2 linked regions of the Ovis aries genome follow. The protein of the gene in region 2 purifies or fractionates together with the protein of the main gene of each other region. This does not show direct contact. Links are inferred from orthologs where the notes say so. Each region holds a gene or a part of one and is shown on either strand. Other genes may lie near its edges.

The links.
Region 1: the proteins of MAPK9 (region 2) and DUSP16 purify together in Homo sapiens (affinity purification with mass spectrometry; 6 studies listed by BioGRID and IntAct, with this or other methods). This does not show direct contact. The link is inferred for Ovis aries from reciprocal best matches to the Homo sapiens genes MAPK9 and DUSP16.

The regions. Positions count from the first base shown.
Region 1 is NC_056056.1:202,976,609-202,980,424, reverse strand, and holds part of DUSP16 (dual specificity protein phosphatase 16), read right to left. Parts: intron 3,439-3,816; coding exon 3,275-3,438; intron 1-3,274. UniProt on the Homo sapiens protein: Dual specificity protein phosphatase involved in the inactivation of MAP kinases. Dephosphorylates MAPK10 bound to ARRB2.
Region 2 is NC_056058.1:773,709-777,524, reverse strand, and holds part of MAPK9 (mitogen-activated protein kinase 9), read right to left. Parts: exon of another isoform or gene 2,161-3,816; intron 1,943-2,160; coding exon 1,760-1,942; intron 361-1,759; coding exon 236-360; intron 1-235. UniProt on the Homo sapiens protein: Serine/threonine-protein kinase involved in various processes such as cell proliferation, differentiation, migration, transformation and programmed cell death.

The sequences.
Region 1 (3,816 bases), on a different chromosome or scaffold from region 2:
CTATATGGCATTCTACACACAGTGGACACAATAAACATTTTTACTGCCTGCTTTGATGACATGACCCTTTGTCTTCCTAGATCACAGAGAAACCTGAAAGCCGTATCTGGCTACACGGTACCAGGCTCCTGCCTAACTCTCAGATGGAAACACCAGGGGAAGCGGCAGCAGCCCTGGTGCTGGCAGCACAGGAGAGCCAGCTCCGCACACCGGAGACTGAAACGAGACGCTACCCAGGGACGCCCCTGCTGGGCCAGCGGCTAAGGCTCCAAGTGGGGGGCCCTGGGTTCAATCCCTGGTCAGGGAACTAGATCCCGCATGCTGCGACTAACGCCTGGTGCAGCCAAATAAACAAATAAATATTAACAAAAGAGACGCTGCCCAAAGAAGGCTGGCAGCAGCCTGTTTAAAACGGGGAAAGAGGGGTAGAGTTGAGTTGGGTGAAGAAGCTGAACAGGTTCAGGCTCAAGAACAACGCGCAGTAGGTAACTCCATCACACATCCCGTGTGTAAGGGTGAAACAGAAGTCCACTTCGAATTTTAACTGATAAGGGAGGAGAAAGCATCAGGAACTTTTGTCTTGAACATTTTAACTACAGGACTCTGATTCCAAGCGCAGTCAGTCAGATAAGAACTGGGCAGCTGCAAACTGCTTTAGTACAACTGCCATTCCTGTTGGAACTCCAGCACAAAGACCAGAGAGGAGGAGAGTGTCGGAACAAAGCACACGTGTGAGGGGAAGGGTGTTCTTTTCACTACCGATGCCTGCCTACGGCCTCCTACAGAAGAGCCGGGTCTCTGAGACAGAAGTGAAAACGGTCACACGCTCACAGCATGCGCCTGCAGGGTCTGAGGGGGGAGCTGGCTCGTGTGGCTCATCCACAGCAAGAGCAGCAGCGGCCACAGCACACACACGAGCTTTCCAAGACCCAGTAACGAAATACGTAAAGCGCCCGTAAGTTTTACATTGATCGCAGGTTGAAATAATACTCTTGATACCGGGTGATAAATGTTATTAAAATTGATTTCACGGGACTTCCCCAGTGGCCGCGTGGTTAAGACTGCGCTCCCCATGCAGGGGGCAGGGGCTCAACCCTGGTCGGGGGAACTGAGATCCTGCATGTCAAGTGGTGCGGTCATAAGATAAAAAGTAGACAGACATATTTTAAAAATTAGTTTCACTTTTTTTTTTTTACTTCTTAAAAAAAGGGCTACTGGAACATTTTGGATTATACGTGTGGCTTGCATTCTACTTCTATGGGATGGTTCTGGTATAGACTATGCTGTAGAAAAAGCAGGGGAAACAAATTTTGATTAAATTCTATAGACCATTAGAATCTCAGTCCTTTGTAAACAGCCTGTTATGGAGATTTCCATTTTGCAGGAGATAAAGATTTCTGGTGTTCTGTAAACATAGGACTCAGAGCCAGAGTAGACTAGGTTTGAGAAAGATCTCTGCCACTGACTAACTCTGAAGTCAATGACGTTCTAGTCACAAAACTGTGGGTAAGCAAGTCATACAACTCAGGGCCAACCTGCCTCTAAATCCTATTATGAGGGTTAAATGCAGTAACAAAGAGTATAGCACTTTATTTTCTTTTTTTTTGAGCCTAGCATTTTAAATGTTAAACACTATTATTCTCCTAAGAAAATTACTATGACATGCTTTTAAGATACTTAGATGGCACTCTGTTAAAAATAAATAAATAAGACAACTAATAAAATTAGTGGTTTTGTGGTGTTTGTTCTCAAAGACTTCATCTTCTAAGTCTGACTAAAAAGGCAACCCACTCCAGTATTCTTGCCTGGAGAATCCCTGGACAGAGAAGCCTGGTTGGCTACAGACCATGGGGCTGCAAAGAGTAGGACACAACTGAAGCGACTTAGCATGCACGCTGTGACATACTTTGCTTATTTCTCAAAGAGGACTAATAAGAATCACATGCTCAAAGACATCATGACCCCACCAGAAGGCTCAGTGCAAGTATGCGTTATCAAATTTCAAATGCCTCATAGTAAGAGCAGATGTATTAACAATGATGTCCAGGCAAAATTTTGAAGATGCAGGGGTTTTAAGAGCAAAAAAAAAAGTAGCGAAAAGAATGCGTCCTTCCTGCCCAATGATAGGATGTTTTTGCTTTCCACGTGCTAAAGCAAGCCCGCCTGGAAGTTTATTTTTATAGCCAGTCCAATTCTTCCAGCTACTCAAGGAGAAATTTCTTTCTACATAAGATAGCAGCGCTTATAAATCACCAGCAGCTGAATTAAGATCTCTGAATGCTTTTTCAATTAGAGGTGGTGTAAATAAGACATTTAGGGCCTCCTGGTAGCTCAGTAGGTAAAGAATCTGCTTGCAATTAGGAGACCGAGGTTCAATCCCTGGGTTGGGACGACCCCCTGGAGAAGGAAATGGCAACCCACTCCAGCATTCTTGCCTGGAAAAATCCCATGGACAGAGGAGCCTGGCGGGCTACAGTCCATAGGGTCGCAAGAGTCGGACACGACTTAGCGACTAAACCACCACCAAGTAAGAGGTTTAGAGACAGATCACCTTCCAGGCAATTAGGGGCCTGTGTTCTAGCAACACTGGTTAAGAGCATATAGACTGTGGAGACAGACAGACCTTAGTTTACTGCTGTTATGTGTGTACCGGTAAATACAACGGCCTCGGCCAATCAACACGGCTCCTCTGTTGGGGGCACCTGGCTCAGGACGGCCCACATCCTTTACATCCAGGATTCATGTTCTTCCCTCTTCTGTCTCCACCAAACTGTGTCAAGGAACCTCAGGCAGGGGATCCACACTGCATCCTCTAAGCGCTGGTCCTCACCATCTTTTGACCCCCTCCCCTGCCCCTCTGGAAGGGGGAAGTCATCATGAACTCTTCCTCAATCCAAGCCACTCTGAGCTCTTTTCCAGTTGATGCAGCGAATGCACACGTTTCTAAGTGTGAAATAATCTAGATGGCACTGGCCTTCCTGAGTGCGCCCAGCTACTGTAACAGAACATCTAAGAAAATGGGGCGAAACTTCCGAAAATCCCTGTCCTGTCGCAGCTCTCTTGGACCTGTAAGAACAGCACACCTGACAATGGCTTAGGTCTCCGACGGCAAACAGAACATCACAGCCGACAGCACGGGGGAGAAGGTAAGGCTGCTGGGCTGCTGGCTGGGGAGCTGCTTTGAGAACATTTGTATCTGAAAGGATGGCCCACCGGTGCCTCTCCAGCTGCTGTCAAGAAATCCTGCAATGAAGGATATTTTCAAAGCACCCACCTTGTTGAGGACATCTCGCTGGCAGCCAAGATAGAGATTGGGCAGAATTCGGGTTGGCCCGATGTTGGCAACAGGTAAGCAAGGCTGAGAGATGCAGGTGGGGACTAGAGTGGACTTTCCTTCACAGAGGCCAGGGAAACAGCGGGAGAACTCGGCAAACCCACCTAAGGATAGACATGGTAAAGTTATGCCGTGCACAGAGATGAAAATCAGCCTTCTGGTAACCAGTCAAATAAAGCTGTCTGAAAAGAAAAAGCAAATCCCACAAATGCAAGTGGATCCTGCCGTACACGGATCCCTGGCTACAGCTGCTTGCGCCGGGGTACAGGCCAGCAACAGCCCTGGTTTGCAGGGCCTCCAAAGGAGCCCAGGCCCCGAAAGTCCCCCGTCCTTTTCTGTGTAACTTAAAGAGGACGGAAAGTAAGCAGCAAATAACCAAGCAGAAGTAAAACGGGGATATAACAAATCCTCAACTGAAGCCAGGTGTTATTTCTTCAAAACACAGTTGATCAACTTAAGTTTCTTTCAGAATGAACTTTTAA
Region 2 (3,816 bases):
AAATGGCAACCCACTCCAGTGTTCTTGCCTGGAGAATCCCAGGGACGGGGCTGCCGTCTCTGGGGTCGCACAGAATCGGACACGACTGAAGCGACTTAGCAGCAGCATATGGCCTCAAAGTAATCAGGAGTACTTTTAACCTTAAATCTCTGTGTAGCCATTTCAGACTGACAGAAGATCCAGGGAAATGTATGCCCTGCCTTTACACACAAGTCTTTTCAAAATAGATGCTTACCGCTTCTGCTTCAGCAGGGTCATACCAGACAGTGATATAAGGGTGACGCAAAGCTTCATCTACAGAGATTCGCTTGTCGGGATCTATCACTAACATTTTTGATAATAAGTCTCTGGCTTGACTTGCTAGGGTAAAAACAAATATTAGATTAATAAAGTAACAATTTTATCCTGAGAATTACACAATAAAGAACTAACTGTGACAGCTCAGACAGAACAAAGATATACTAACTCTGAGAAACTGGTGATAAATTCAGGATTATTAGTCTCTTTCTTTAAGAGTAAATCAAGCAGCCATTTCCTAGAAACCAGGCTTTCCAAGGTGCTTTTGCCCTGAGTCTGGGAGGGGAGAAGGACAGGGCAGAAGGCTGACAAGCCATGGACAGGGAGGGTACTGGAGCTAAGCCGAGGGTGGCACTGCCGAGAGTGCAGGCATGAAGCACGGGCAGGCCTTTTCTCTTGATGCCACATCAAAGTGAAACCGAGCAGACTAAGCCACACAACAACTTCATATGCGCATCGTATACAGCAGCTCACAGATATCTCTGCTTCGCCTGTGCTGTGCGTAGTCTCCCAGTCGTGTTCGACTCTTTGCAACCCCATGGACCCTAGCCCACCAGGCTCCTCTGTCCTTGGGATTTTCAGGCAAGAACACTGGAGTGGGTAGCCATTCCCTTCTCCAGATGATCTTTCTAATCCAGTGATCGAGCCCAGGTATCTTGCACCAGGGAAGCCCTCTGCTTTGCCTACCTGTATACAATGTACACTTAAAAAAAAATCTAGAGATTAGTAGCTAGGAAAAAACTCAACAAATTCAATAACTTGGTTAAATACAAGGCTCACCTAGGTTTTAGCAACTAAAATTCACAGGTGGGACCTCCCTGGTGCTCTAGTTGCTGAGACACTGCACTTCTGGTGCAGGGGGCCACGTTCAACCCCTGGTCAGGGAACTAGACCTCACATGCTCCACTTGAGAGCTTGCACGCGCAACCCAAGACCCCACACGCCACAGCAAAGACCCAGGACAGCCAAATGAATACCAAAACCAAATAAAGTTCACGTGTGCAGGCAAAGGAGAGATGGAACTCTTCTGAATGAGGCACAGTTTGTCTTGATGCAGAGAAAACCAAATCTATTCTTTTCCTTTAAACACATTAAAATGTGATGGGCACAGGATCAGGGGAAAAGGCCTTTAAAAATTTCTGACTCTTCAAATGGGCGACAATCTTTATTCAAGTATTCTTTATACCTGGTAACAGTTTGAATTCCATTTGCTGTAACTAATATAAGAATCTTTCAGACTATGTAAATATTTTGACCAGAGGCTTCAGTTTTGTCCCCTTTATTGAGGACAAAACTTCTAGGTCTTTAGGCTTTCTTTCTGAAATGGCTTCATTCTTGCCTATAAATGACTTTGACGGTTTTCAACTATTTCATCTTTCAGTTTTCACAGAGTTTAGAATGCAAACATAAACAGGGCTTCACCAGATTATGAAAACAAGTATAAGAAAAAAGGATATCTTACTTTTAATTTTGTCTCGTTCAGATTCTGATGGGAATATCCAATCTGGAAAGAGTTCTTCAAATTTGATTCCAGGATACTTTGGTCGGTTTTCTACATAATTCCTCACAGTTGGCTGAAGTTTCTTCATGAAATCTGCAGATGGTGTTCCTAGCTGCTCAATAACTTTATTCCACTGATCAATATCTAAGGAGTTTCTTGAGGAAAATACAACTGAAATGCCTTATATTCATATTATATAAAGTTGCATCATTCAAAGAGACACTTAAATTATACTTATCAATGAATAATTAATCAGGACAGCTCCCTGGGTCAGCAGAAGCATTCTGAAATAATATTCAAATAAGGTTTGGGTTCCTAGTTAAGAGTATTTAAAAAAACAAACAAACAAACTCTGCACCATATAAACTCTGGTCACAGTTTATTAAATCAACACAATGAAGTCTTTATGGCTTCCTACTCTAGATCAAAATGAAGTTATCTTGAAGCTGAAGAATGCCTATGACTGAAAGGCTTAAACATGAAAGTAGGTAATAATTATGTAGGCAAATTGAAATCAGTTCTCACAATAACGGGCTTCCCTGATAGCTCAGTTGGTAAAGAATCCGCCTGCAGTGCAGGAGACCCTGGTTCGATTCCTGGGTCAGGATGATCCGCTGGAGAAGGGATAGGCTACCCACTTCAGTATTCTTGGGCTTCCTGTATGGCTCAGCTGGTAAAGAATCTGCCTGCAATGCGGGAGACCTGGGTTCAATCCCTGGGTTGGGAAGATTCTCTGGAGAAGGGAAAGGCTACCCACTCCAGTATTCTGGCCTGGAGAATTCCAGGGACTATACAGTCCATGGGTTCGCAAAGAGTTGGACACGACTGAGTGACTTTCACGTTCACGCTCACATGCTCATTATTAGTGACTTTCACACCTCCACTTCTCGTAGTAAAGCTATGTTAGATATAAAGCTCCCTGAAATAAGGAGAGCTACCTGACTGCTCAATTTACGGCTGGGAACCACCTTGTAGGCTTGGCAGGATGGGGTGCACGAGAGAGGGGGTGGGAGCCGGGGCTCTGGACTTTCTGAGCCCTCATCATGTTATCTCCCACTGTAGCTGGGCTTACATTGAGCAGCGACAGCTTCGAGAGGTCATTCAGTTTTACTTGGTACTGACTCTGGCTATCATTGCAATATAAATGAGTGTGTTTTATTTCCTTTCAAAGTACATGACCTAGGTTTCAGACTCCATTGTGTATTAGTTACTCACTGGGTGTCAGGAAGTCAATCTCCCTTGGGTCTCATCTTCCTATTTGTAAAATGGAGACAAGGCCAGCTTTGTCTCTTTTTCTGGGAGCTTGAGATAACCGGCAAGATGAATGTGGAAAGTGATTCTAAAACCATAAACATTATATAAGAGAACACAAACCAGAGGAATCAAATAAACAAACAGGATCTTAAAGTTATTAATTGAGGTATGTCTTAGAAAAATAAAATGACATTACTGTGAAAGAACCTAGGGAACTAACATACGTTCTTCAAAGAACAAAGGAGGAGGCCCTCTTGTGCCCTGTGATGCCTTTCTTCCTACTGGTACACCACCACCATTTTGCTCTCCACTGGAGCTTTCCATCACCAATCAAACATAATTTTTTCCCCTCTCATCTTAAAACAACAGTCACTTTCCTGTGAACAGTCGCTTTCCTGTGAACTTCCGTAGCTTAGCTTCTGTTCCCGTTTGCAGCAATACAGAGTCGTTTCTATCTTTAATTCCCGACCTGTCATACTCTCTTAACCATTCTTTTCACCCATCATTTCATGAAAACTGTGCCCATCACAGCTGCAGATGGCTGCCCCTCAGCTCTCAGTCCTCACCTTTGTGACAGTGTCCATGTGCCCCCCTCAGTAATCTGCTTCTGGGCCTCCAGGGCCCTGCTTTCTGAGGGGTACCTGGCAGAAGCTTTCTCTTTCTTATAAGCCATGAGGACTTCTTTTCTACCTTTGCTTATGAACCTAAAACAAATCTCTGACAACTGCAGTCTGGTTTCCAGAATCTTTTTCTATCTAATGTTT